4 linked regions of the Anolis sagrei genome follow. The protein of the gene in region 4 purifies or fractionates together with the protein of the main gene of each other region. This does not show direct contact. Links are inferred from orthologs where the notes say so. Each region holds a gene or a part of one and is shown on either strand. Other genes may lie near its edges.

Region 1 (7,572 bases), on a different chromosome or scaffold from region 4:
TTGGACTGGATGGCCCTTGTGGTCTGTTCCAACTCTATGTTTCTATGTTTCAAATGGAAGAGATGGAAGAGTGTCTCTATTTGAATCTGCATATAAATCAATATGGTTAGACAAGAGTGGTGTTTTACTGGCTCTCTGACCAAGTTCAAAGAACCAACTTAGAAATTAGACACTACTTTTTAAAATAGTAACATCAGAAATAAAAAGTATAACATACATGCATTTATATATCAGTAACTACACTAAAAGTGAAGAACTTAAGTACAGTACAAGATAGGTGTCCTATAACATAATGCAAGGGTTCTCAACCTGTGGGTCCTTAGGTAGTTTGGCCTACAACTCCCAGAAATCCAAGCCAATTTACCAGCTGTTAGGATTTCTGGGAGTTGAAGGTCAAAACATCTGGGGACCCACAGGATGACAACCACTGGCATATGTCAGAACTGAGTTCAATGGGATTTATTTCCAGATGTGTGCAACATGGTACTGCAGCTTTAGTCACAGTCTGCTCCCATGACAACTTTCTAAGGACAGTCATTATTGTCCTCATTTTACAACAACACTTCCTCAAACAAGCCAGGCTGTCATACATATTATTAACTGAAGTGACATCATAATTGGCAATTGTTCATTCATTCCAAAATCTTCTGCCCCAAATAAACAATGCTTGACAAATGAAGAAGTAAGTACATGTATAAGAACAGTTGTAACAGAGGTAATACAAAAAAAGGTAACATGAATTGCATGTTACCATGAATCACATATTCAGCATCATTACTGAAAAAAGTAGCTTCATCTGTATCATCTTCTATCATAAAATTAACATAACAGTTGTATGAAAATCTGGTTGAAGAGTTGAGTTCCTGCTCTAATAGTGAGAATGAAATCTTTCCTGATGTGCAAGCCATGTATCCAAGGCTTCTTGAAAATGTAAATTTTATGCATCGGCCCGAAGATTTCACACCTTCTGAGATGCCTAATGTTGCCAGGCTTCTGACAGAATAAGATCTACAGCTTTTGTGCTTCCCATGAGCATATAACATGAGTCAGATACATTTGTCACCATCTTACTTCATTTCTCTCACAGCAAACAAAGAAAGTACTTTGCAAATTCCACTAATAAACAGGGGCTTACAAAAATGAAATGAAATGTTATTTCTTGTTCACACTGCTGCAGTGCGTTGGTGTGAACAAGAAATAACAGAAATGTTGTAATTGTATATTATCTCACAAATCATTTATTTTTTTAAAGTAAATAAAAGGTTTTCATGAGACACGTCATGCTGCCATATATTTTGTTAATGTACAAAACAAAACCAAGGCATACAGTGGAAATTAAAATTCACTATTAAAACTGTCTGAATAGGCCTGTCGGAAGAGATAGGTCTTCACTTTTATCTTAAATTCTGACAGCTGATCCACCTGTTGAGAGCTCTACGGGCAGGTCATTCTACAGTCATGGAGCAGCAGATGAAAAGGTCCTCTAGGTGGTGGTTGCCAGTCGGGTTTTGGCTAGTTGGAGGAACTGCCTCCAAGAGGACCTAAGTGAGTGGGGCAGATTGTAAGGGAGAATCACTGGGTCATGAAACCATGCATGTCTCAAAAGTGTGCCAGCAAGATGAAATGCTTGGAAATCTCTGGATTAGGGAACTCAAGAAAATGAAACCTAAAAAAAGTTTGGTAAATAAAAAAACTCTTCATACACCAGTGGTTCTCAACCTGTGGGAACCCAGATGTTTTGACCTTGGCCTTTGTAAGCTGCATCGAGTCATGCTAGCGGGGTACAAATAAAGTTAATAATAATAATAAAAAAAATAATTGACCTTCAGCTCCCAGAAATCCTAACAGCTGGTAGACTGACTGGGATTTCTGTGAGTTGTAGGCAAAAACACTGACAACCACTGCCATACACCTAAGTGAAACAGTAGCTTAAAGGGCAGGAGGGGAGGGGAAAGAAAGTTTCATTCCACTTAAAAAGTGAAAGTGAACAACCCAGAAATGACCCCGCCCTCCCTGACGTCATCAGACCGGAATGAATCCAGGAAGAGAGCTGAGATAACCCAGAAGTCGAGAAATAAACATGAAGGGAAAGGGGGGGCACGACATTGAAGTTAAAATACGTGAAAAGGACAGTAGCAGCCCAAACTGCGGGGATCCCTTCCCAACACCCCCCTTTGGCAGAATGGTCTCGCCCTGGGGAGAGGGGCCTGGCCCCGCCCCGCGCGACACAGCCCCAGTTGCTGGAGGGCTCCTGACCCCGCCCCCTGCCAGGCCCCGCCCACGCACACCAATGGTTCCTGCCCAGGCCCAGCGCACCCCTCCCCCCGCAGAATGGTTCCTTCCGCGCCAGGCCCAGCCGCTCGCTCGCTGGCTGGCTCTCCCCTCAGCCAGGAGGAGGAGGAGGGCGGCCTGCCTGCCTTCCCTTCCTTCTTCCTCCCTCTCGCCCTCGCCTTCCCCGCCCGGGACAATAATACGCGGGCCTAAACATGGCGCCCGCCCAACACCAGAGCTGCCTCGGCGCTCTCGCCGCCTCCGAGCCTCCTGTGCTCACCTGAGGGAGCCGCAGCGACGCGGCTGACAGGCCCTCCTCCTCCTCCTTTCGTGCGAAGACTAATGGCGGCGGCGGCGGCGCTGCTACTGCCGAGTTCGGGGAGGGAGAGGAGGCGGCGGCGGCGAGAGAGACCGCTCCCGGCGGAGGTGGCGGTTGCTGGGTCCGCGCATTCGGCAGAGCGCGTCGCGAAGGGCCGCAGTCCGGCTGCGGAGGCTCCTTCCCGAGGCCGAGCCACTTCCCTCCCCGTCCTCCTCCTCCTCTTCCTCCCCCCTCGGCACAAACAATGCGGCGGCCTCAGCACAGCGCTCGCGCCGGCGGGGGAGGGGTGGGAGGGAAGCAGGGAGGGAGGGAGCGGGGGAGGGGCGGGAGCGGAGGCGGCAGCAGCAGGCAGGCAGGCAGGCAGGCACCTCCCAGCCCCGGCGACGAGCACGAGCGCCTGGCCAGGACTCCCTCCGCGCGTTCTGTGGGCGGCGCCAGCGCGGGCTCCCCACAGGACACGCCCACACGCTTTCGTAACCCGCCCGCCAGCCAATCCCCGCCCGGGACGCTTCTCCGCGGACCCGCCTCCCCGCCGGCTGTAATAAGCTGCCGGTCAAGTTCGGAGAGTTTTGTTTGCTTCTGGCCCGAGGAGGAGGGACTCGACTTTTTCTCAGACAGTTGGGACAAACAAAAAGGAGAGTCTTACGCTACCATTTGAAGGCTTTCAAAACACCGGCTCGGAAACAGCGCCTTCCACATCGCCTTCCTGGGAGAGTGAAAGGAACGTTTCATAGTTCTCGCTCGTGGGCGTTCGGAGTTCCATGGAACTCAAGGGTCCACCATTCCACCCTGGGATCCTGAGGCAAAGGAGTGCACTGCGCTCCCGTTTTCTTAGCAATGTGCCCCACAATGTCAGCAAATTTACCCCCCCGGAAACTAGGCACTGGATCCCGAGTCTTCTCCATCTGGAACGCAGTCGTGAAACCAAATTACCAGTTTGGGAAAGGGTAATTGTAGGCTTCCTTTGAGATCAGGGTGGAGGGCTGTCGTGTCTGCTTGAGAAAGCAGTCATTACGAAAAGCTGCAGTTACGCATTGCCACATATTGCCTATCCATGTACATGTAAGATCAGGGGTCCACAAACTTTTTAAACAGAGGACCAGGCCACAGTCCCTCAAACTGTTGGAGGGCTGGATTATAATTTGAAAGAAAAAATGAATGAATTCCTATGCACACTGCACATATCTTATTTGTAGTGCAAAAAACACTTAAAAATACAACAATTAAAATGATGAACAATTTCAACAAATATAAAATTATTAGTATTTCAGTGGGAAGTGTGAGTCTACTTTTGGCTGATGAGATAGGACTGTTGTTATTGTTGTGTGCTTTCAAGTCATTTCAGACTTAGGTTGACCCTGAGCGAAGGCCGGGTAAATGACCTTGGGGGGCCGCATCTGGCCCCCGGGCCTTACTTTGAGGACCCCTGTGTAAGATAAGGTGGGGGGGGGGGGAAACTGAGGTAGTAGACAAGAACTAAAATTAGAAATGGTGAGACTAATCCAGTGGTTCTCAGCCTGTGGATGCCCAGGTGTTTCAGCCTACAACTCCCAGAAATCCCAGCCAGGTGTTAGGATTTCTGAGAGTTGAAGGCCAAAACATCTGGGCACCCGCAGGTTGAGAACCACTGACATATAGCTGGGAAGACTCCCTCTGTGACATCAGAGCCCCTCCTCCAGCAACAATGTAATATTATATAATACTAATATTATGAATGATGTATTAGTACTATGCTAACAGGAGCGGCTCAACCCATTACACAAAGTAAGCATTTGCAGTATAGTTGATTTTGCCCAGGTGTGCTCTTGAGGCGTTCTTGAGAGAAAATAGACATTGACATATGCGAGTTGTAGTTACTGGGATGTATAGTTCACCTACAATCAAAGAGCATTCTGAACTCCACCAATGAGAGAACTGAACCAAATATGGCACACAGAACTCCCATGACGAACAGAAAGTATATATCAGTGATTGGTTGGGGGGGCGGGGGGAAGAATACTGTTTGCTTACTATTGAAAATTACCTAGGGCCACCTCTGTATGCCAATATTGTGTGTTGTATGTCCATATTTATTTATTTCCTATATTTATACCCTGCCCTTCCCCCCCCCCCCCCCGAAGGAGGACTCAGAGCAGCCTAACAAAAGCATAATAAAAACCACAGTACAATCAAAATATTAAAAAATAAAACAATTAATTAAGACACATCCATTAAAATGGAAATCCAAAAACCGGTCCGGGTCAATGCATTGCCATAAGTTTGTGATCTTCCACTTGCTGCTCATTGCTCAAATGCTTGGTCCCATAACCAGGTCTTGATTTTCCTTCTAAAAGACAAGAGGGAGGTGGCCAATCTGATATCTCTAGGGAGGGTGCTCCATAGGCAGGGGGCCACTGCTGAGAAGGCCCTGTCTCTCGTCCCCATCAACCGTGTTTGCGATAGTGGGATGGAGAGCAGGGCCGCTCCTTAAGATCTTAAACTTTGTGATGGTTCGTGGCAGGAGATACGTTCGGACAGGTACTCTGGGCCAGAAACTTTTAGGACTTTAAAGGTTATTTATGACTTGTAAGCCGCTCTGAGTCCCCTTCAGGGTGAGAAGGGCAGCATATAAATGTCATAAATAAATAAATTTTACCATGAAAACTCTATGATTGGACAATTCAAACTGAAACGAGAGATAGTGCCAGAAGAAAGGATGAGAAACACTGGGCTAAGGGGACATCACTGTAGAATTAATGCAGATTGACATCATCATAGGCTATCACTTGTGGCCAAGTATGATTTCCTTTCAAGTGTTGGGTATTGGTGGTGGAACTGTGGAATTCTGGGACCTGGAGTCTGGTGAGACACCAGCACTATTTGGCAGAGAAGGCTAAAGCCCTTCTATAACTACAACCCCTTCAGTTGCATAGGGCTAAGCATAGCAGTTGAAGTGGTGTTGGATTGCAGTAATTCTTTACTGGAGATGCACCTGTCATCTCAAAACCCTTTCTGACAGTTATGGGGTGCCCTAAGAGCAGAAGCCTTTCATTAGCCTAACACTATCAGAACATAAATCATAAAATCAAAGGCAGCAGAGGGATGTAGGAGATTCTCAGATATTGTGTGTGTGTATATATGTACATATGTATGTGTGTGGATAGATAGAAAACATATGGTGATAACCTTGAAATGGGTTTAGGAGAGGGGTGATGTGAAAATAATACAACACAGTTTAAGTTTTGTTAATGAGTTACGAAACTAACCAATTTCTTGACCTATTATAATTTTTATTTTACTGTCTGATATATTTATAAACACCTGCTTTGCAGCATTAAAGGTGACATCTGGATATCATTTAAGATTTGTATGTACCGATGTTCATTTATGGCCAGTAGTGTATCAGTTCGGCAGTCCAATGGCAACAATCTGCAAAGAACTTAGGGTGACAAACACAACTTAGAAAACGCAGGGACTCATAAGCACAATGTGGGTATGCAACTACAATGCTATATACACAAATATTAGGTGGCTGTTTCCAATCAATCCAGTTGGATTACTTTAATCTTTTAAATACTAAATATATTTAATACTGTTTTAATATTTGTATATTTTAAATTTATTTTTTTTAATGCAAGCTGCTTTGAATGTCCTTATGGAGAGAAAAAGCAGGATATAAATAAACATAATAATGGAAGAAATTACATTGAGCATACCCAATTGGTTCCACTGACATCGCACAACTGCATGAAAAAAATGACTTGAAAGCACTCATCACAGTAGCTGCCAAAGGGTATCAAGATAATGATCTGATCAGTTTGCATCTCAGGTGTTGAAAATCTGTGGCCTTCCAGGTGTTTTAGCTTTATTAACTTCCACAGTTCTTTATTTTAGCCAGGCTAACTGGTGCTTCTGGGTAAAGTTAAAAGCCCCTAGACCCCCAGTGAAATGGTCACGTTCGCATTCCAGTGGTTTTAGCATTCTATCAATATCAATTTCTTTTTAATCAAGATCTTTCAAAAATACTGTTCAAATACATTCCAAAATAAAGAAAGAAAAAGAAAATGTAAAAGTTTAAAGTATGAAAATACACCTAAATTGCATTTTAATTAGCATTGATGAACTTTAGAGAAAGGTAAAGGTTTCCCCTTGACACTAAGTCTAGTCGTGTCCAACTCTGGGGGGTGGTGCTCATCTCCATTTCTAACCTGAAGAGTCGGCATTGTCTGTAGATGCCTCCAAGGTCATGTAGCCTGCATGAATGCATGGAACGCCGTTACCTTCCTGCCGGAGCGGTACCTACTGATCTCACATTTGCATGTTTTTGAACTGTTAGGTTGGCAAACGTTGGGCCTGATAGCGGGAGCAAACCCCGCTCCCCGGATTCGAATCACAAATTTAGTAGCTCAGCAGTTTAACCCGCTACACCACCAGGGGCTCCAGATATATCTTTAGATGTTGTTGTTGTTGTTCATTCATTCAGTCGTCTCCGACTCTTCGTGACCTCATGGACCAGCCCACGCCAGAGCTCCCTGTCGGCCGTCTTTAGATACATCTAGCTAATATTGTATGTCAACAAGGCATTATCACTGGTGTTGGTTTTTCCCTTCAAATAGTTTCTGACTTATGGTGATCCTAGAACATAATATGGTAGGGTTGTGTGTGTATCCATCCAGATATGGAGCCTTCAATTTTTAGGATGTAGTGGCCACGGGTTGTGCAAGAATTGTTGCAAGTACTTCATAAAATTGTTATTACAACTGGAAATAGCACAGACTTAAGGATCCTGGAAGGCAAAACTAGCATATAATAGTTGCCCTCTCACTTTTCTTGCTCTCCTGTCACATCCTTGATTCATTGCCCCACTCATGTGCTCACCTTTCAGTTATGAAGCAGACAACACTCCTTCATATACCAAGACATTTGTATGATTGAGATGTTTTTGCATACAAGTAAATGAGAGTTGTATTTTACCTGGGTTATACAGGCAAAGTCATGTAATT
Region 2 (7,138 bases), on a different chromosome or scaffold from region 4:
CTTGTTATGCTGCTTTTTTAACTGGATGGCTATGAATTGCGCATAGAGTATAACTCCCCTATATGTGACAGATACATTCCAATACATCCTTGTGGATATCTGAAGTCATGAATAATAGAAAAACCTGTATTTTAACTATACCATAATATTGCACAGGCCTCCAGTGGCACAGTGGGTTTAGACCACTGAGCTGCTGAACTTGCTGATCAAAAGGTCGCAGGGAGCGATGTGAGCTCCCACTGTTAGGCCCAGCTTCTGCCAACCTAGCAGTTCGAAAACATGTCAATGTGAGTAGATCGATAGGTACCGCTTCGGTAGGAGATAATGGCACCCCATGCAGTCATGCCAGCCACATAACCTTTGAGGTGTCTATGAACAGCGCCAGCCCTTTGGCTTAGAAAATGGAGATGAACACCAACCCCCAGAGTCGGACACAACTGGACTTAACGTCAGGGGAAAACCTTTACCTTTTCATAGAATTGCACTAGAGGACCTAGTGAGACAAAAATCCATTTTGTGGTGTGAATATTTTTTGGAGCAATAATGAGGTTCTCATGTCTGCAGTGGTTTTCATGTGCATTTTACTTATTTGCGTTTAAATAACTGCTTAAGGATATATCTGTATGGAGATAAAATGTGCTGAACTCAACTTGCATATTTATTAATTCTCAAGTCACATGGGCTTCTAGTTGAACTCTTATATTTTTAGCACAACTAAGTAGGACATCGTTCATTGTCAAGTCGATTTTAACTTATGGCAACACTATGAATAAGAGACCTCCAAGACACCCTGTAAGTAAGAACCCTTCTCAAGTCTTACAAGGGCAGTGGTTTCCTTGAACCAATCATTTTTAAACTCATTTTCACTTTTAGTGATAGATCCCGCTTGACTTGCTCTAAAGTCCACTCATTTGTTTTGTCTTAATTTAGAACTTAGTGTTGCTAAGACCAATCTCCTTGTCATGTGACTGACAAATACAGTCAGGTCTCCATATCCACAGATTTTGTATCCACAGATCCAGCCATCCATGGCTTGAATTTACTAAAAATATCCGAAAAGAAAATCTTTATTTTTCTGTTTTATATCAGTGACACCATTTTACTACATCATTGTATTTAAGGAGACTTGAGCATCTACAGATTTTGGTATCCATGGGGAATCCTGGAACCAAACACTAGCAGATACCAAGGGCCCATTGTATATAATTTCTGCATAACACCTACACCATATTTATAGCCCCTAGATCACTCCCTCTTCCCTCAAGTTCTTGCCAGTGGCTAGTACTTTGTGTACTTTTAGTAGTTTGAGTAAAGGTGGGCCTCAGACTCTATAGGAAAAATACCTTCCGACCAATCTTCTGCTTGAGCAACTACCTGTACACTATGCCCCGTCCCCTGTCATACTAACTGCTTTTTGGGAGTTCATTTTGAGTTTTGTTTGCAATAAGAGAGTTCCCCATAATTTTTCTTCCATTCAGAGTTACTGTACTTGCATATGTACACAATACCCCACAGGCATATTTTGTGGTGCATGACTGTGACCTATGCATCGATAAAATCTTTGCTTTGGTTAAGCGAACAAGCAGTTGGTCTTTGACCTAGCCAACTATCTGTGGAGGAATGCAGTTTATTTAAAAACAAAAAAAGGAGAAGCACACTTAACTAACCGCATTGTTAGGTTTTGGTTTCTATGATAGTAGCAGGCCTGGGATTTCTGGATAGTTGGGTTTCAAAACCAGTGGGAATATAACCTCACTTTCTGAGCCGTGCAATAAAACAGCAGCCAGGCTTATGTCTAAGAAAGCGAAGGTTACTAATTTCCTTTTTTCAGTCCCAAAGGTGCTACAAGATCTCTTTCTATCCTGTAAAACTCTGGCCCAGACCAACATGGCTAGATCTCTGAATTCAGAATGCTCCAGCTCAAACAAGAGATTCATCTACATCAGTGTTTCTCAATCTATGGGTCTCCAGATGTTTTAGCCTTCAACTCCCAGAAATCCCAACAACTGGCTAGGATTTCTGGGAGTTGAAGGCCAAAACACCTGGGGACCTACAGGTTGAAAACCACTGATCTACATTGTAGAATCATTGCAGTTTGAGCCCACTTAAACTGCTGTGGCTCAATGCTGTGGCATCCTGGGATTTGTAGTTTGGTGTGGCACTATCACTCTGGCAGAGAAGGCTGAAGGTGTTGTAAAACTACAAAGACCCTGATTCCATTGCATTGAAGGTGGCAAAGACAATTACAGTGGTGTCAGACTGCATGACTTCCACATTGTGGATTCACCCAAGGTCTTCTTGAGGGTAAAACTCCCAACATATTATGCGGATCTATTGGTAAGGATAAAGGTTTCCCCTTGACATTAAGTCTAGTCATGTCCAACCCTGTGGGGTGGTGTTCATCTCCATTTCTACGCCGAAGAGCCGGCATTGTCCGCAGACACCTCCAAGGTCATGTGGCCAGAATGACTGCATGGAGTGCTGATACCTTCCTGCCTGAGTGGTACCTATTGATCTACTCAACAGTTTTCGAACTGTTAGGTTGGCAGAAACTGGGGCTAACAGCGGGAGCTCACCCCGCTAACCAGATTCGAACCACTATCCTTTTGGCCAGAAAGTTGAGCAGCTCAGCGGTTTAACCCAGTACACAACCAGGGGATCTATACAGTACAATGAACCACTTGGTACTGGCCTGGCACACTGCTATGAAATCATAGGAATATGGCTGTTTGTGGAAACAAGGATCCAGGGAAGTCATGCTTCCTCACTATTCTGCCTTGGTTAGACCACACCTGGAATATTGTGTCCAATTCTGGGCACCACAATTGAAGAGCAATATTGACAAGCTGGAATGTGTCCCGAGGAGGGCGACTAAAATGATCAAGGGTCTGGAGAACAAGCCCTATGATGAGTGGCTTAAAGAGCTGGGCATGTTTAGCCATGTATAAATATGTGCGAAGAAGTCTTAAGGAGGAGGGAACAAGCTTGTTTTCAACTGCCCTGGAGACTAGGATGTGGAACAATGGCTTCAAACTAAAGGAAAGGAGATTCCACCTGAACATTAACTTCCTGTGAGAGCGGTTCAGCAGTGGAACTTTCTGCCCCGGAGTGTGGTGGAGGTTCCTTCTTTAGAGGCTTTTAAACAGAGGCTGGATAGCTATCTGTTGGGGGTGCTTTGAAGGTGATTTCCCTGCTTCTTGGTAGGGGGTTGGACTGGATGGCCCATGAGGTCTCTTCCAACTCTGATTCTATGATATGGCATTCAGCAGTTGTTATCTGCTCACCCACAGAACACCATATTTAATAAGCCTTGGCACCATAAGAGGGTTTTGTGCGACCAGTCGCTCTTGTTGCAACAGAGTACTAACAGTAAGGGTTTTATTGTGTTGCTGTGGTTTTAAACTGTTTTTATGTTTTAATTTGTATTTTGATATTATGTATACTGATTAGTGGTAAATTGCCTTGAGTCGCTGATAGACTAAGAAGGGCGGTATAGAAATACAGTAAGTAAATAAATAAGGCCGCAGACCATAGTTTAGTTCTTGCTGACCTCTGTTGGTCCATGGAGCACAGATTGGGAACCACTGTGTAGATCAGGCATGGCCAAATGTGGGCCCTCTGGGTGTTTGGGACTTGAACTCCCAGAATTCCTAACATATGCTTTGGATAGCATAGGAAAAGGCGAATACCCCATGTGGGGTATGGTTTGCTGGCTGTGCCCCTGTCCAGAAGATTCCACCTCACTTTCTGTCCCTGTGGAGATTGGATTTTGAGAAATGTGGCTGGTTGTGGGAAGCAGGAGTGGAGAGGGCGCTTCAGCAGAGGGCAACGGAGGCCTCGGAGGGGATCCTTCGATCCTTCCTTCCTTCCTTCCTTCCTTCCTTCCTCCCTCCCTCCCTCCCTCCCTCCTTCCCCTCCCTTCCCTTCCCCTCCCCTCCCCTCCCTTCCCTTCCCTTCCCTTCCCTTCCCTTCCCTTCCCTTCCCTTCCCTTCCCTTCCCTCCTTTCCTTCCCTCCCTCCCCTGCGTGCCTGCTCTTAAGGAGGCCCCGGTGGGCGACAGCGGGCCAAGGCGAGGCGGGGGCAAGCAGCAGGTGCCAAAGCCGGGCGAAAGGGAAGCGCCAACAGGGAGGGAGAGAGAGAGAGAGAAGGGAAGGAAGGGGAAGAGGAGGAGCCTCCGAGGCGAAGGCGGCAGGAGCAGCGCTAGCAGCAGCAGCACCAGAAGCGGCGGCAATAGTACAATAGGGCTCTTGTGCGCTGCCGGCCTCCTCCTCGGCCTCCCCCTCCTCGGCGGTGGCGGCACGAGCGTGAGCCCGCCGGGCTGGTAGCGGGGGAGACGGACCGGCCGCCCCTCCAGCCCGGAGCCACAAGGTAAGCGAACGCCTCGCGTCCTGGGGGAGAGCCAGGGCTGTGGCCAGGCCCGCCAGCCGAGGCCCAGCCGAAAAGGCGAGAGCGGGCGGCTTTGTGGCTGAAGGGAGCGCCCCAGCGGCCTATCCTATCCCCAGGAACTGTTTTCCCGGGTGACTGATTTAGACTCCATCTCCCAGAATCCCTCACCATCGGGTAAGGCAGCCGAGGCTTCTGGGAGTTGGAGTCCAAAACACCTGGCGAGTGCCTAGGCCCTGCTCTGGTCCGAGTTGCCAGCCCCGCGACCGCGCGCCGGGCTCTTCTGCGCATGCGCCGAGGTCCCGAAGGTGGCCGGACGGGCGGAAAGCGGGCCTGGGAGCGAGGCGGGGGCGGGGCCTGCGCCGCCCGTCCTGGGCTGCCGTTGGCCGCCGGGAGCCACGTGACGGGGTGCCCCCCTCCAGCCATGTGGCTTCTCCTGGACTGGGAGCCCCCGTTGGCCTGCCTTTCTTCCCGCTTGGCGGCCGGGTGAGCGCGAGGAGGGGTCAAGGCCTTTGTTCTTCAAAGTTTCCCTCCCGTTTCCTTTATTTCAAGGGCCCCGCTCCCTTGGGTGACTTAAGCTTTGGATGAACCTGTGTTGTTGTCCCAATAAGACCACAGTCGCCTTCATACACAGAGGTGGAGTGTTTATTATTATACATATCTAGGCATTTTTGGAAAGAGGAACTGGAGTGTTGTCGAAGGCTTTCATGGCCGGAATCACTGGGTTGCTGTAAGTTTTCTGGGCTGTGGGGCCATGTTCCAGAAGCATTCTCTCCTGACATCTTTGGCAGGCAGCCTCAGAGGTTGTGAGCTCTGTTGGAAACTAGGCAAGTGAGGTTTATATATCTGGAATGTCCAAAGTGGGAGAAAGAACTCTTGTCTGCTTGAGGCAAGTGTGAATGTTGCAATTGGCCACCTTGATTAGCATTGAATGGCTTTGCAGCTTCAAAGCCGGGCTGGTTGCTGCCTGGGGGTTGATTCCAGACAAGATTCAATCAGGGCCAGCTAACACCTCCCAACAAAGGGTCCCCAGGCAGCAACCGGCCAGGCCTTGAAGCTGCAAGGCTATTCAGTGCTAATCAAGGTAATCAATTGCAGCATTCACACTTGCCTCAAACAGATAATAGTTCAGTGAAAACTCACAGCGACCAAGAAACTGGAGTGTCATTCAGGGTGATCTTCCAGGGGATGCTGGACTGTGGCTCCACCTGGAAGTAAGGGGCAAAAATACTTGGATGAGGTGTTTTACATACCCTACATGCTCATGTATAAGGCCAAACATTTTAATCAGAAAAACAATACCAAAATGACTTATCCATGGGTCAATGTGAGTACAGTATTGTACTTTAACCCATCTCAAAAGAAAGGAGCCGTCCCTTTCTTAAAGAAGAAAGGTCCATTCTGTGAGAAACTTAAGGCTTCTTCTACACTACCATATAAAATCCAGATTATCTGCTTTGAACTGAATTATATGGCAGTGAAGATTCATATAATCATGTGGATTATCTGCTTTGATAATCTTGCAGGGTTGAAAGGGCCTAAAAGAAACACTAGCACTTTCAGCAATCTCTGCTGTGGCACCATTTCTGGCCCTCTTGGATGGAGAAATCAATTTATTTGCCCTGTACACTCAAGTATAAGTCTAGAAATTTTGGTAAAAAAACAACAACCCCCAGAACCCCCCTCGGGGGTTGAGAAGGGCGGGGTAGAAGTGACCTAAATAAATAAATAAATAAATAAATAAATAAACCTGGACCAGCTTCTCCATGGGTCAGTATAAGTACTGTGCTGTAACTCTTATCAAAAAAGGAACCATTCCCTCCTCTATGTAAAGCAGTGTGAAGTGAGATGAGTCCATCCTGGGATAACCTCAAAGAAGCACCGACCCTCTTTACGTTCTTCTGTCCTTTTTGGGTGCTTGGCTGGGGGCGGCAGGCCCTCTTAGGTGGCATTGGCACTTGCCCCTCTCTGTGGAATGACCCTCAACTTACCCACAGGTCAATGTAAGTACTGTGCCTTAACTTGCTGAAACAAACCACCTCATTCTCTGAGCAGAGGGCCAAAAGGCAAGAGCTGAGTCAGTCCTGGAAGAACCTAAAAGACAGTTCTGAGCAGAGGAATGGCGATGGGCAGCTGGGCCCCTGAGTCAGCACTGGGTCTTTCTCCCTTCACAGAATGAGTATCAATTTATCCATGAGTCATATTGCCCCCAGTATCGCAATGGGTGAGTACTGCTCACTGAAAGGTCAGCGGTTTGAATCCGGGGAGTGGGGTGAGCTCCCGTCTGTCAACTCCAGATTCTCATGCAGGGACATGAGAGAAGTCTCCCACAGGATAGTAAAACATTTGGGCGTCCCTTAGGCAATGTCCTCGCAGATGGGCAATTCTCTCACACCGGAAGAGACTTGCCGTTTCTCAACCAGAATTTTGGTCCCCAAACCAGCTCTCAATTGATACATGAGGTCAACTTATACATGAGTACAATTGACAGAAAGACTAGTGTCCTCAGTACCAGTAGAGCATAGTGAAAGATGGGTTATATTCCAGTATCTGGAGAGCTGTACCTTTTTTCTTCTTCTGTGTGGACACATATATAGGATACCAGCACTTAGCACACAGAGGCCTGCTTTCAGACTACTATCCTGTGCCTTTTTGTCAGGGATTAGGCCACACTGAACATTGCGGAACTTGGTCCAAGCAAGCACACATAGTGAAGGCAACCGTTTCTTATTGACAAATACTAACAGATTTATTTT
Region 3 (7,610 bases), on a different chromosome or scaffold from region 4:
CCCAAGTCAACGCTTATAAGGAAGATATCTCCATGCCTCAATGCACAGGGAAGTAACTAAGGTTTGCAGGTATTTAAAGACTCCCATAATCCTCCACCATCAGTCTGATGTGAATTGGAAGTCAGATCTCAAGGCAATGGTCTTAAACTTATTTTTTCATATAGTCAATCAGAAACCACTGACAAACTCTTGCTGTTTTCAGTTTTAGTCCTCACAATTCCTACACTGATCATGGTGACTGGAGTTCTGAGAACTTACTGGTAAATCCAAACAATCCAGAAAGTTGTTTCATCATGTTGCACCAAATGATCATCAGCTCTCTATGCAAGGAACTATGCGCAACACTGTTTCTTAGGAAGACAACATTTCTAAGCATTAGCCTGTTTCATAGCCACCCACACAAACAGGGTTGAGACCTTGCTAACGTTACATAGATTATAATGCAATTTTCAATAATCCACTGCACACATATTGTGATATTAGATGATAAGTATGATTCAAAGTATATGCCTGAAGACTAAATCAAGAATGTGGAGTGTCATTTGTATATGGATGATGAAAAGCTAACAGAGTGTGAGTAGGAGGTGTTGTTAGAATGATGTGCAAGGAAAAGAGAACAACAGGGTCAGGATTCAGAAGTCAGAGAGAAAAAAGAATCAAGTTCCAAAAAGACAACAAAAGAGTGTGTGAGGGTAGACAGTGCTGTACAGTTAACAGATTAATGGTATATTAAAATAAAGGGAAACTGCAGTCACATATGTTTGTGCCCTGGAGGTAAAAAGTGTCGTCCTCTCTCTCTCTCATATATGCATATGTATATATGCTGATTGCACCAGTGAGGTGCCACTTACCTCACAGAAAAGTTTTGTATTGTTTAGTGGCTATTCTAGGGTTTTCTTAGTCATGTATAAGAAGTCTTGGTTTTACCAATGCTAAACTCTCAATTAAACAACAACTGCAAGATGTGACTATTTGAATACATGTGGGATAATTAAGTGCCATAAGATCATCTATTCTTAGTGAATGAATCACCCCCAATCTTCCCATTCTATTTCACTGATACATTATTACAGATTATTACAGATTTTGATTATGAAAAGGTACATACAAAGACGCGTCTGAACATAGTGTCACTTGTCGTTGTTGCTGATTTAATGTCCTCTATGTGGGTAAAGCGATATGTGGGTAAAACTCTTATTGAGCTTTATGGCATTCTAATATTTTGTGTTGTTTGATATGCCTCTGTGCAAAAGCTGTAACGTTTTTCTTTATTGTTGGTCAGGTCTCAGAGTGTACGTGCAAAAACAACCCAGCCTTATTTTCAAACACAGAGGAAGTGGTTCCAGTGGGAATCCTGGGAGCAATAATACGTTAAGAGCAAATGTGGGATTTGAGGTAGGATTAACACAATGACAGCCATGTGATCATCACAGTGGTCCCTTCGCCACTCAAGTTCAAATACAGCTAGCATTTAAAATGGTCTTCACAGACACACAGCAAACAGCTTAACCTATATGTCATGCAGTCTAGTTTATTTTATTTATTATTTATTTACTTTGCTTATATACTGCTGTATCTCAAACCCGAAGGCGACTCACAGCGGTTCAGGTTCAGAAACCTGAAACAACTTCTTTGGGGACAGTTGTCACTGTTGATTTAATAATCAATATAGGAAACACTGTAGAATTAATGTGTTTGACACCACTTTAACTGCCATGGCCCAATGCTACAGAATCATAGAATTTGTAGTTTGCTGGAGCACTAATACTCTTTGGCAGACAAGACTAGACTATTTATTTATTATATTTATTTTTTTCCTATGTTTATACCCCGCCCTTTTCTCCCCGAAAGAGGACTCAGGGTGGCCTAACAAAAGCATCATATGATGCTAGCATCATAAAAACAACCACAATACAATCAAAATATTAAAAATCAAAACAACAATCAAAACAATTAATTAAGACACATCCATTAAAATCGAAATTTAAAAACCAGTCCAGGTCAATTCATTGCCATAAGTTGTGTGATCTTCTTCCACTTGCTGCTCACTGATCAAATGCTTGGTCCCATAAACAGGTCTTGATTTTCCTTATAAAAACGACAACTCCCACAATTCCATAGAATTGAGCCATGACAGTTAAAAGTGGTACCAATCTGCATCAATTCTACAGTGTTGATGCACCTGAAGAAGAACTGTGATCATAAGCATCTTAAATTATTCAATTAGATAACGTTTACAATTGTGTTTTGTGTCGTGACACAAATTGGGTAACAGGTGCCAGGGAAGGAAGAGAACGCTAAGGGGACTCCAAAGAGTTAAAGAGGAGTAGTCTGGGAGAATTTACTCTTGCAGCAATGTTAACACTAAGCAGATATAGATTTGACAAGCCTCAGCACATGTAAAAGCAAATCATTAGTAAGATAAATATGAGGATTGAATGAAAAGTAATGCCTCCAGCTTTGTTACTTGGGTTTGGAAGGGAATATTTTAATAAATCGAACGCAGAAATAATCCTTAGAATGTGCTCTTTAACTACCACTATTCACTTTTCCACATAATCACCAGACAATTGGATACACTTCTGCCAACGATAAACAAGTTTTCTGAAGCCATCACAGAAGACGTCAACTCTCTGTTTCCGCAACCAGCGTCTCACAGTTCTCTCAACCTGGGTACCCATCGTGCACAGATCTTCTGATAGCCAAGCAAAGCAATAATGTGACACACATGTTCTCGTGAAATGCTGATGATGCTTGAAATTTCTCTCTGAGTGATATGACAATCGTCCTGAATCAATCTGTCAACCTTTTGCTTGTGAAACTCGGTGGTTGCTGTCACAGGATGTCCAACTCTTTGTTTATCACGCAAGCCAGATGTTCCCACCTCAACATCTTTAAACTTACTCGCCCAATGACGCACAGTACTCACATCAACACAATCACCATAGACAGCTTGCATTCTCTGATGAATCTCCTTTGGGGTGACACCTTCTGTTGTCAAGAATTCAATAACTGCATGTTGCTTAAGTTGCATTGATCAACCATCTTCGCAGGGTTCCATACTTCGCACATTAACAACACAACCGTTCAATGCTAAGGCTTCCCACCAAAACGGAACTGTAGAGGAGAGTCTACTGAACAAGCCAGTACCTGCCATCTGTTGAGGAGTTACGAAGGTAGAGGCATTACATTTCATTCAACCCTCGTACATACTTAAAAGATGCACTTGAAGAACTGAAAGATACAAATGTTTAGAATATTTTCCAACGATGTCTGTATACTCAATACATAGCAGCAGAGTACAAATGTGCTGTGACTCTTGATTCATCACTTTATAATTGAAAAACAAATACTACCGCTCAATCAAGCTAGTTAAGAAAATTATTCTATTTATTCCAGTAGGAGCTATGTATATGAACTAGGAGTCTGAAATTATAATCTCCAAAAGAATATCTGGCAGTTTTGGATTACAGCAGAAGTTTCCAAACATCTTCTGCCATGGAACCATTCAGAAGGCATTCCTATCCCCACCCTCCATGGTACCCTAATTCTATCCTTGATTTTTAGCTTGTGAACCCACAAAGTTTTTTGGATAATACCAAAATACTTTAAATACTTTACTTTGGAAATACTTTAAATATAACCACAAACCTTTATTTCAACCAAGAAAATATTGGATTATTTCATGAATTAGAGTGTTTAATTTTTGTACTAAGAATAGTTCTGAAACTGGTCTTTATGTCCAACAGATAAATTTGAAGATCTGGGGTGGAATCCAACTTACTTCTGTATTTGTTTTTGATGTAAATATACACTGGAAAACCTAATTCACATCGACAGGTGGACACAAAGGGGAGCAGAGCTTGGATGGTCTTTCTGGCTACTAGTCCTACCCAAAAGTCATTCAGTGGTACAGATTCAAAAAGCTGAGGTACACTGAATTTAGCCATCTCTCCACAAAAGTTGACATTGATGCCAAAATACACCATTCGAGCTTTGTGAGTGCAGCATTTTTTCAAATGAAGCCCTGTTGAGGATAAGGGCATTCATAAGGATACCAAGATGCTTGTTTATAAAGCCTTTATACTTCCAACTCTGTTGTACACATGTGATACATGGAATGTCTACAAATGTTACTCTCAACTTCTAGCACAATTCCATCAGCGTTGCCTTCAAAAATGTCTTTGGACAGGTGGACAAATGTCAGCATTCTGGAAACAAAGACCATCAGTACGGAAGAGATGATCCTACACCATCAACTTCGCTGAAGCAGCTGTGTTGTCCAAATGTCTGATCACCATCTCCCAAAGCAGTTACTTTACTCTCAGCTCAACAATGGAAAAGGGAATGTTGATTGACAGCAAAAGAGATTTAAAGATGGGCTTAAAGCTAATCTTTAAAATACGTGGAATAAACACTCCATGGCACTTGAGTGCTCTCACTGGATGTCAGCTTACCAACAGTGCTGTAGCTTTCAAAGAAGCATGAATAGAGGACGAAAGGAAAAAAGGAGTCAAAGGGAAGGTGTGTCATGCAAAACCTTGTCGGGACTGCTTTCCATTTGGAAATATGTCTCCTCGAAAGCCCATGTGGATCTAGAATAGGTCTCTAGTCACTAACAGGCCCACCACCAAGACCATACCTGGCCACGAGGGATCACCTATAGCGACAATGAATTTCAATAAGATCTTCATACGCTGGCACAGACAACATGTGATGTTTATTCCAATTGACAAATGAGTCTTTCGTGCACTCAATGTCTCAGCTGATGTCTGGGAAATATGCCTTGTGTGGTTTTATATTAAAATCCATCTTAAATTTCTCTCAGTCTCAAGGGAAGGCAATGGCTAATCACACCTGGACAAATTTCGCCAAAAAGCCCCTGTACTGGAGTCACCTTGGAGTGGAAATGACACAATAACAAGTTAACAAAATTATATCAGTTTCAATGTATCAGAGGATCTTTTGCTGTATGAAACTATGTATGAAACTAAAATGAATCTAACCACTTGAAATGGAAATCTCTAAGGGCTCTTTCCCACAGCCGTGTAATCTTTTAACTTTATTGAATGTTTAAATTGTGTTATCTATTTATTATGTCATCACCAGTTTTATAATTTATTAGATATGTATTGTCAAAGGCTTTCATGGCTGGAATCACTGGGTTGTTGTAGATTTTTCGGGCTACAGGACGATGTTCTAGAAGCATTCTCTCCTGACGTTTTGCCTGCATCTATAGCAGGGATCCTCTGAGGATGCCTGCCACAGATGCAGGCGAAACGTCAGGAAAGAATGCTTCTAGAACATGGCCATATAGCCTGAAAAACCTACAACAACCTCTTATTAGATATGTTTGTGGTGTGATGATTATGCATAATTTTATGCTCTGCAATGTTTTTCATTACATGTTTGTTTGCCACTTTGAGTACCAATTGGGAGAAAGGCGGGATAGAAATAAATAAATAATTAAAACCCAGAATATCATGGCAGATAATCCACAATATTGGCATTGGACTGGGTTATCTAAGGGTCCTTCCACACAACCATATAACCTAGAATATCAAGGCAGAAAATCGCACAATATTGGCTTTGAACTGAAATATATGGCAGAACACAGTTCACAACAGATATTGTGAGATTTTCTGCCTTGATAGTCTTGGTTATATGGCTGTGTGGAAGCGCCCTTCCAGACAGGCCCTGTATCCCAGGATCTGAACCCAGGTTTTCTGCTTTAAACTGGACTATATGAGTCCGCACTGCCTGATAATCTGGGATAAACATAAAACCTGGGATCAGATGCTGGGATCCTGGGCCTGTCTGGAAGGGCCCAAGTCCACACTGCCATATAATCCAGTTCAATGTGGAGTTTGTGTAGAAGAGGCCTTAACTAGATTGATCAAAAGGAAATGATACCTTTGCAGGTTTATCCTGCAGTTAAAATGGTTCCATGATGAGAAAAAAATGTAAGAGTATAACCATATTTAATCAAAACTGATTCCTGTTCTGCAACCCTGCCTGGGCCATCTTGCTTGCTCTGTTTTGAACCATCTCAGGCATTTTCTTCCTCCGCCAATCACAACATCAAGGAGGTGGGCGTTCGGCTGCCTGCCATCCAATGAGGAGCAAGGGAAGGCTAATTCAGAGCAGCCAATCAGCGCCTTTCCTCAACACATACAGCCAAGTCTGAAGCGAGGAAGGAGGCGGGGAGAAGAAAACCGCGCCAGTAGGAAGTGATAGGGAGGCCAACCAATGAGAGGACGGCAACGGAGCCTATCAGGGCGGGAAGGAGGCGGGACACAACAACCACCCAAAGGGAGGAGGGAAACAAATAACCGTCGAAGGCGGGGCTTGCCCTAACTGATGGCGAGGGCGGCCATTCAAGTGGCGGCGGGAGGCAGAGGGAGCCAATCACGCCGCGAGCTGAAGCAGGGGCTTGAAGGCCTACGTTTTTAACTGGTTTTCGAGCCTGGCGGTCTAAGCGGGCGAAGGAGAAGGCGAGCGGAGGGGCTTGGCTCCTTCTGGCGCCGCTTACCTTTCGGCGAGACATCCTGGGCGGAGGCGGCGGCGGAGGCAGCGAGGGTGGCTGCGCCCCGGCCGCCGCGTTGGCTCCGGCGGTGTCCGTCGTGACTGGCGTGCCTCCGGTCCCCCAGCGCCAGGCCGCGCCGCCCTCTGGTGCCTGATTCCCCCCAGCGGCGACCTTTCAGCCGACTCCCTCCACTCTTCCGCCGGGACACTCGGCGGGGAGATACACACCCCCGTCCTGCCCGTCACGTGACGCAGACAAACCTCACCTCACGCCGACGGCCGCCCGCCATCTTGGAATGGGGAATGACGTCTTCCGCGCGTGGAGCGGCGGCCATTTTTGAGCCGGGCAGGGCCTCGGGTCGAAAGAACAGGGGCGGCCATCTTTGAGCCGGGCAGAGCTTGGTTCTTACCCAAAAGTCTAAACTGACCACAGTTGCATCGGGAGTTTGAATTCAGAGCGGTGCTGAATCCGCCATCTTTGTTTTGGGAACCAGCCTCTGTTCCTCATAATAGGAGCATCCATTTTTGGTTTGGGCAAACTGGGTTGTAGCTATATACATTTCTCTATTATTATTATTATTATTATTATTATTTATGTTGCTGTGGCCCACATGGGGGTTCTGTGTGGGAGATTAGGCCCAATTCTATCGGTGGGGTTCAGAATGCTCTTTCACTGTAGGTGAACTATAAATCCCAGCAACTACAACTCCCAAATGTCAAGATTCTATTTCCCCCAAACTCCACCAGTGTTCACATTTTGGCATATTGAGTATTCTTGTACAGCTTGGTCCAGATCCATCATTGTTTGAGTCCACGGTGATCTTTGGATGTAGGTGAACTACAACTCCAAAACCAAAGGACACTGCCACCAAATCCTTCCAGTATTTTCTTTTGGTCATGGGAGAATTGTGTGCCAAGTTTGGTTCAATTCTATTGTTGTGGGGTTCAGAATGCTCTGTGATTGTAGGTGAACTATAAATCCCAGCAACTACAACTCCCAAATGGCAAAATCATATGTTTTTTTGAGTGAAGGACATACATTGGGTTGTTAATTGTCTTGTGTCCAAATTTGGTGTCAATTTGTC
Region 4 (7,917 bases):
TTCCTGCATCAGCTGACACAGTGGAGCTGCTCTCTCCTCTGTTTCATGCCTTTGAAGAAACTGAACAGAGAACAGATCCAGCCCAGATGAAATGGTACACCTGAATACTCTTTCTGGGTATAGCTCTGGAAAAAAACCTAAAACAGTCGTTCTCAACCTGTGGGTCCCCAGATGTTTTTGCCTTCAACTCCCAGAAATCCTAACAGCTGGTGAACTGGCTAGGATTTCTGGGGGTTGTAGGCCAAAACACCTGGGGATCCACAGGTTGAGAACCACTGCCCAAAAACTATGTGAATGCTTAAATCTTCTGAACTATAGTGGCCAAGCTACAATTATCTGTATGGGGTTCATACTGGTAGTGTGAGTGCAGACTTAAGGTTTCATAAGACAAAAATATACATGCAAATAGATTTGTTGGACTTTGAAGAGCAGGTGGAAACCACATCTAATTCAATAGCTTTGATTTGCTTAATCCTGGTAAAATTCATGTGTTCTTACTTCTAAAGGTGTATCATCTTAGGTTAGGTAAAGGTAAAGGTTTTCCCCTGACATTAACATAGGAATGTTGTCCAGTCGTGTCCAACTCTGGGGGTTGGTGCTCATCTCCATTTCTAAGCCAGAGTCAGTGTTGTCTGTAGACACCTCCAAGGTCATTTAGCCAAATTGACTGCATGGAGCACATTACCTTCCTGCCGGAGCAGTACCTATTGATCTACTCACATTTGCATGTTTTCGAATTGCTAGGTTGGCAGAAGCTAAGGCTGACAGCTTATACCACTCCCCGGAAGCTTATACCACTCCCCGGATTTGAACCTGTGACCTTTCGGTCAACAACTCTTTGATTTTGTTTGTTCTTTCTTTTCACAGTGGCAGATGACAGGGGCTTCCAGAGTGGATGCTTGCATTGTGCCTCCTTTGCTCAAGCAACCATCTCAGAAAGACAGGCATACCTAGAACCTCCCAGTCAACCCATTTCCAGTAATGAGACCTTCTCACTGGTATCTACTTCTCAAGTCTCTGGCCTAGAAAATATCTCAAGCTGGAATGAAGAGAAGGAGCCTTTCCGCAGCCTCCAGTGTCCTGGAAAATCAGCTTCCTCCGTGGTTCTAAGCAAAACTGGGTCTCAAGGATTCTGGAGACCCTGGTCTACCTGAGTCTTGTATATATTTTTGAAAGCCCATGACTGAAGGAAAAAATGTAAATAGTATCCTGCCAGGACTATAGTCTCTAATTTATTTGGTATTTGGAAAACAATGTTAGAGAAAGCATGTACGTCTTGTTCTTGTCTCATGTCTTAAGCACCATTACTTGTCTGCACACAAGTATGTTTTTCTGTGTTTCTTCATGTGTTGCTATTTTATACTGATTTTTATTGAAAACAAATAACATATTTGAACAGATAATAAATGTCTATTATAGGCTTACAATATAAGATATTTCTATATTATCTTTTCACATTCTTTACAGATTTATTCGTATTACATTTTGTATTTTTTCTCCCTCTCCTCCCACTACCCTTCCTTACCCTTCCCACCACTTTTCTCTCTATATCTTTATTTTTAACCACGAAAACAACCTTTTTAATCTTAGTACAATATCAGTGGCTTCCCCTTCTTCTACCCATTTCATATATGTTGCCCGTTTCTCTTTAATTTCTTCTGTTTTGTCCTCCCGTGAACCTTCTTGGGTTATACATGCAATAATATCTGATTGGACTTTCTCAAATAAATAGTTATTCCAATTTTCCATATTCCATTTTTTTCATTTCTCCATACCCAGGCTATTACCGCCTTTCCTGCTAAGACCATTGGTTTAAATAGGTCTTGGTTCTTCGCAGCAATGTTTTTATTCCCTGTAATTGCCATTAATATAAATTCCATATTGATTTGAATTGTTGTTTTGAAAAGTTTCCCCATTTAATGTTTTTCATATGTTTTACATTACAAAAATGAAGAAATTGTGTGTAAAGGATCATCTAGTAACTTGTAGTGTTTAAAACAGGTTGAGCATCCCATATCCACAATTCAAAAATTCTCTCAGAATCCACAATTATTCACATGGGTAACCGAGATAGCAACACCTTTGTTTTCTCAGTTGTTGTAGGTTTTTCGGGCTCTATGGCCATGTTCCAGAAGCATTCTCTCCTGACGTTTTGGCTGCATCTGTGGCAGGCATCCTCAGAGGTTGTGAAGTCTGTTGGAAACTAGGAAAATTGGGTTTATATATCTGTGGTGCTCTGCTATGGCTGACTTTTCTGGTTGCCATGGCAGAGCACCTGATGAACCAACCTGAACATAACATATAATTTGAGAACACAGAAATGCTGAAACACTCTAACAACCACCATGTCAGGCTCCACAGAGAAGCCATTGAAATCTACAAGCATGTGGACAATTTCAACAGAAAGGAGGAAACCATGAAAATGAACAAAATTTGGCTACCAGTATTAAAAAAAACTATAAAATTATAACATTAAATAAAGAACAATACTCAAACACAGGGGAACTCCAGACACGAAACAATCAGAGACAGCTAATCACTTCTCAACAAAGGACTCCCCCAGGCACTAACAATCCACACTTAAAAAACTGTCAGGTCATCAAATGCTAACCAAATGCTAGCTCCAACAAACAAGGGTTTTTTCTCCCACCCTAGACTTTCCACAGATATATAAACCCAATTTTCCTAGTTCCCAACAGATCTCACAACCTCTGAGGATGTCTGGCATACATGCAGGCGAAATGTCAGGAAAGAATGCATCTAGAACATGGCCATATAGCCCAAAAAACCTACAACAGCCCAGTGATTCTGGCCATGAAAGCCTTCAACAATACCTTTGTTTTCTAATGGTTCGACCTACAAAAACTTTTGTTTATGGCACAAGATGAAGAGGAACTGTTAGTTAATACCCTTTGGGTCCAATTGCTTAAGCAATTACATTTTAATAGTAGCATTGCCTAGCCCACACTTGCTTAGCTTGCATGCGAGAAGGTCATGGGGGACTTTGTCAGAGGCCTTACTGAAATCATGATATGCTGCCCCCACACCATTCCCTGCATCTACCAAGCTTGTAATTCTATCCAAAAAAAAAAAGATAACATTAGTATGGCACGACTTGTTTTTCCGAAATCCGTGTTGACATTTAGAAATCACAGCATTCCTTTCTAAGTGATTGCAGACTGTCTCCTTAATGATCTGCTCCAGAATCTTTCCTGGTATTAATGTCAGCCTGACTGGGTGGTAACTGTTTGGGTCATCCTTTTTCCCTTTGAAGAGAGGGACAACATTTGCTCTCCTCCAGTCTGCTGGGATGTCTCATGTTCTCCAAGGGCCCTTCCACACAGCCCTATATCCCAGAATATCAAGGTAGAAAATCCCACATTATCTGAGTGTGGACTCAGATAACCCGGTTCAAAGCAGATATTGTGGGATTTTCTGCCTTGATATTCTGGGATATAGGGCTGTGTGGAAGGGTCCTCAGATAACCCAGGGCCCTTCCACAAATCTATGTTGTTGTATATTCGTTCAGTTGCTTCCGACTCTTCGTGACCTCATGGACCAACCCACGCCAGAGCTTTCTGTTGGCTGTCACCACCTCCAGCTCTTCAGGGTCAATCCAGTCACTTCAAGGATGCCATCCATCCATCTTGCCCTTGGTCGGCCCCTCTTCCTATTTCCTTCCATTTTCCCCAGCATAATTGTCTTCTCCAAGCTTTCCTGTCTTCGCATTATGTGGCCAAAGTACTTCATCTTTGCCTCTAATATCCTTCCCTCCAATGAGCAGTCGGGCTTTATTTCCTGGAGGATGGACTGGTTAGATCTTCTCGCGGTTCAAGGCACTCTCAGCACTTTCCTCCAACACCACAGTTCAAAAGCATAAATCTTCATTCTGTCTTCCTTATGGTCCAGCTCTCACATCCGTAGGTGACTATGGGGAATACCATTGCTTTAACTATGCGGATCTTGCTTGCCATTGTGATGTCTCTACTCTTTGCTATTTTATCGAGATTGGTCATTGCTCTCCTCCCAAGAAGTAAATGTCTTCTGATTTCCTGGCTGCTGTCTGCATCTGCAGTCATCTTTGCACCTAGAAATACAAAGTCTGTCACAGCCTCCACGTTTTCTCCCTCTATTTGACAGTTATCAATCAGTCCGATTGCTATAATCTTGGTTTTTTTTTATGTTTAACTGCAACCCAGCTTTTGTGCTTTCTTCTTCCACCTTGATTAGAAGGCTTCTCAGCTCCTCCTCGCTTTCAGCCATCAACTATATATACCCAGATTATCAAGGCAGAATAATCCACATTATCTGCTTTGAACTGGGTATATACGTGTCAGGAGCAAATTGAGAAACATCAAGTTGCTTCTGGTGTGAGAGAATTGGTCGTCTGCAAGAGTGTTGCCCAGCGGATGCCAGGATGTTTTTGATGTTGTATCATCCTTGTGGGAGGCTTCTCTCATATCCCCACACGGGGAGCTGGAGCTGACAGAGGGAGCTCATCTGTACTCTCCCCAGATTTGAATCTGTGACCTGTCGGTCTTCAGTCCTGCTGGTACCCATTGCAACACTGGTGGCTCCTTGAACTGGGTTATCTGAGTCCACACTGCCATATAATCCAGGTCAGTGTGGATTTTATGCAGCTGTGTGGAAGGGCCCAATGTCTGCAAAGTCCCTTTTCTGAAATGTTTTTCAGAAATGTTTTCTTTAAGGTATGTATCCACTTTAATAATAATAATAATAATAATAATAACCCGATTGTACTAATCAGGGAAAGAAGAAAACGTTGGCCTTCCCCGCCTCCCTTTTGCCCAGCCAGGTCTTCAGGTTCAGTTCTGCTTACCACTCAGGAGCAAAGCCCAAACCGGGCGGAAGTGAGCCGAAGCCCCTTCCGGAAGTCGGCCTGATTGAGGGCGGAAATGACGTTAGGGCGGGAAGCGGGAGGAGTTTGGGCGCTTGGCCGAAACCCAAGATGGCGGCGGGGATGTACCTGGAGCACTACCTCGACAGTAAGCGCGGGAACGGAGCGGGAGGAGGGCCGAGGGCCAGGCGGCGGAGGAGCCCTGGAAGCCAAAGGCCGCCTCGGGAGGAGGAGGAAGAGGAGGGGGCGCGCCTCGTTCATCATTCACACGTTATGCGTGTTACCCACATGCGAGCCTGACCCAAAGGGCCCCTGAATGAAGCGCTGTGGCCAATTGACAGCCTTGGTCTGCCAGGACCCCTGCGTTACGCCCATGCCTACGTTTAAGGGCCCTTCCACACAGCCCCATCACCCAGAATATCAAGGCAGAACATCCCACAATATCTGCTTTGAACTGGGTTATCAGAGTCCACACTGCCAGATATTCCAGTTCAAAGAAGATAATGTGGAGTTTTATTCAGCTGTGTGGAAGAGACTTAGATAACTTAGGGCCCTTCCACACAGCCAAAATATCAAGGCGGAAAATCCCACAATATCTTCTTTGAACTGGGTTTCTTGAGTCCACACTGCCATATATTCCAGTTCAAAGCAGATGATGTGGGATTTTATTCAGCTTTGTGGAAGGGGCCTTAGGTAACTTAGGGTCCTTCCACACAGCCATGTCACCCAAAATATCTGCTTTGAACTGGGTTATCTGAGTCCACACTGCCAGATATTCCAATTCAAAACAGAAAACGTGGGGTTTTATTCGGCTATGTGGAGAGCGCCTCAGTTGTTAGGTTTTATTAAACCGTGCAATGTATTTAAGTGTACATTTCCAGCGAATAAAATTATAATGTTGCATCACACCCATTCTTTCCCTCCTATTATTTTCCCCTTCAAATCATCTTGTGGCCAAAAGAAGGACTTCAATGAGTAATTGCTTGATAATGAAATGAACATTATTTTAAATGGTTAAGCTTTTACAAAATTATTGCTTCTTCCACAGCTCCATACTTTTGTTTACTTCTAACTGAGAGATGACAGAACATTACAGCAGTATTAATAGTAGTAGTTTCATTTATTCCTTTGTCCAATTTGTCATCAATCCACTTCTTTCATCTTTGCACAAATCTACAATTTGTCAAAATATATGATCCTGTGCTGTTCTTTTCCATTTTTGGCTGAATAGCTTAAATTCAGATAAATTTGTGTTGTTGAAGGCTTTCATGGCCGGAATCACTGGGTTGCTGTGAATTTTCCAGGCTCTATGGCCATGTTCCAGAAGCATTCTCTCCTAATGTTTCACCCACCTCTATGGCAGGCATCCTTAGAGGTTCCAGGTCTGTTGGAAACTAGGCAAGTGGGGTTTATATATCTGTGGAATTTCCAGGGTGGGAAAAGAACCCTTGTCTGCTTGAGGCAAGTGTGAATGTTTCAAGTGGCCACCTTGATTAGCATTAGGCCCTGGTGGCAGAATGGGTTAAACCCTTGTGCCAGGAGGATTGCTGATTGAAAGGTCGATGGTTCGAATCCAGGGAGTGGGTTGAGCTCCTGGCTGTCAGCTCCAACTTCTCATCCAGGGACATGAGAGAAGCCTCTCACATCCGGGCATCCCCTGGGCAACGTCCTTGCAGACGGCCAATTCTCTCACACCAGAAGCAATTCGCAGTTTCTCAAGTTGCGCCTGACACAGAAAAAAAACTTACTTTAGATCTCACTTCCACAGACCACTGCGACCCCCACGAATAACAGACCTGGACCAAACTTGGCACACAGACTCCTCCCTCATGTCCCACTTTACACCCTGGTGTGGTTTGGGGTAGGATGAACCATGGATGATGGTAAAGAGTAAGATAAGTTAGTCCAGGTGAAGGTGACACAGAGAAAAGGGAAAGAGATATGGGTGAAAAAAAGCTTAAAATATTAAAATAATTTGAAACATGGTATTAGAACTATAAGTGCAGTATACTTTAGATGGGGAAAGTTTTAAACGAAATTAAGTGCTTCTTTATTATAACAGCTATCATTTTTGTGTTATCAAGCATATATAATGATTGTATCTTTGTTGACTTTACTTGTTGACCTTAATTATATATTGAGAAAACTCCGTACTACGATGTACTTTCTTGATGCAGATACAGTTTTAATATATTCTTCTTGATTATTTTGTTGGTTACTATATTTTAAATTTTGTCTTTTGAATTATTTATATATATATATATATATATATATGAATGAGAACATTGGCTGGATAGGCCTGTTCGTGTTCATTATATTTAGAAACAAAACACTAGTGTGTTGCCTTTTCAGTTGCATTTGAAAGGTGTGCATCAATGTCATATGCAGTGAGTGTACATCCAAATAACACAATGTAACACGATTTTTGTTCCTGGGTTCAGTCATTTCAGACATTTATTTAATTGTTTCTATCATTAAAACATTTAAACAGGGAATAACATTTTCTTACATAGTGTAATAGAAAATATGATTGAGGCAAGCATACATTTATAAGCTTGGTATCATTAAAACATGGGGAAAGGTTATTAAACTGCAAAAACCGATTTGGAGGGACATCCTGAAGCACATTTTGCTATTGTTTTTCATTGAATATCTCATTGAGTCTCAATTCAAACTAGTTTGTGGCAGCCACAAAAACAATGTTTCTGGAGTAGACAACTACTTTCAAAGTAAGTACCATACAATTAAACAGGGAATAACATTTTGTTACATAGTGTAACAAAATGTACATAGTGTTACATTTTCTTACATAGTGTAATAGAAAATGTGATTGAGGCAAGCATACATGTATAAGCTTGGTAGTCAGACATCCGAGAACTCTCTTGCAGAATATGTGTACAGTGAGAAAATCTGGGTTTGCCAACATTCATTGTGTGGAGTAGATCTTTGGTGCTTTTATCACTAAGCTTTTTGAATGTATATGGTCTTAACGTCCCAGTGGCTGTTCAGTCAATTCAGAATTGATGTTGGTCATTCTATAACAAAGTATGTGTGATGGT

What was found.
Region 1: the proteins of ING4 (region 4) and BRD1 purify together in Homo sapiens (affinity purification with mass spectrometry; 5 studies listed by BioGRID and IntAct, with this or other methods). This does not show direct contact. The link is inferred for Anolis sagrei from reciprocal best matches to the Homo sapiens genes ING4 and BRD1.
Region 2: the proteins of ING4 (region 4) and JADE3 purify together in Homo sapiens (affinity purification with mass spectrometry; 3 studies listed by BioGRID and IntAct, with this or other methods). This does not show direct contact. The link is inferred for Anolis sagrei from reciprocal best matches to the Homo sapiens genes ING4 and JADE3.
Region 3: the proteins of ING4 (region 4) and KAT7 purify together in Homo sapiens (affinity purification with western blotting; 6 studies listed by BioGRID and IntAct, with this or other methods). This does not show direct contact. The link is inferred for Anolis sagrei from reciprocal best matches to the Homo sapiens genes ING4 and KAT7.

The regions. Positions count from the first base shown.
Region 1 is NC_090025.1:122,939,554-122,947,125, forward strand, and holds the start of BRD1 (bromodomain-containing protein 1), read right to left. Parts: upstream 3,009-7,572; 5' UTR 2,552-3,008; intron 1-2,551. UniProt on the Homo sapiens protein: Scaffold subunit of various histone acetyltransferase (HAT) complexes, such as the MOZ/MORF and HBO1 complexes, that acts as a regulator of hematopoiesis.
Region 2 is NC_090023.1:99,696,407-99,703,544, reverse strand, and holds the start of JADE3 (protein Jade-3), read left to right. Parts: upstream 1-4,130; 5' UTR 4,131-4,367; intron 4,368-4,843; exon of another isoform or gene 4,844-4,868; intron 4,869-7,138. UniProt on the Homo sapiens protein: Scaffold subunit of some HBO1 complexes, which have a histone H4 acetyltransferase activity.
Region 3 is NC_090026.1:31,669,692-31,677,301, forward strand, and holds the start of KAT7 (histone acetyltransferase KAT7), read right to left. Parts: upstream 3,009-7,610; 5' UTR 2,960-3,008; coding exon 2,930-2,959; intron 1-2,929. UniProt on the Homo sapiens protein: Catalytic subunit of histone acetyltransferase HBO1 complexes, which specifically mediate acetylation of histone H3 at 'Lys-14' (H3K14ac), thereby regulating various processes, such as gene transcription, protein ubiquitination, immune regulation, stem cell pluripotent and self-renewal maintenance and embryonic development.
Region 4 is NC_090022.1:197,488,136-197,496,052, reverse strand, and holds the start of ING4 (inhibitor of growth protein 4), read left to right. Parts: upstream 1-4,917; 5' UTR 4,918-4,969; coding exon 4,970-5,006; intron 5,007-7,917. Other genes in the region: transcription factor HES-2-like, read left to right, coding at 868-1,154.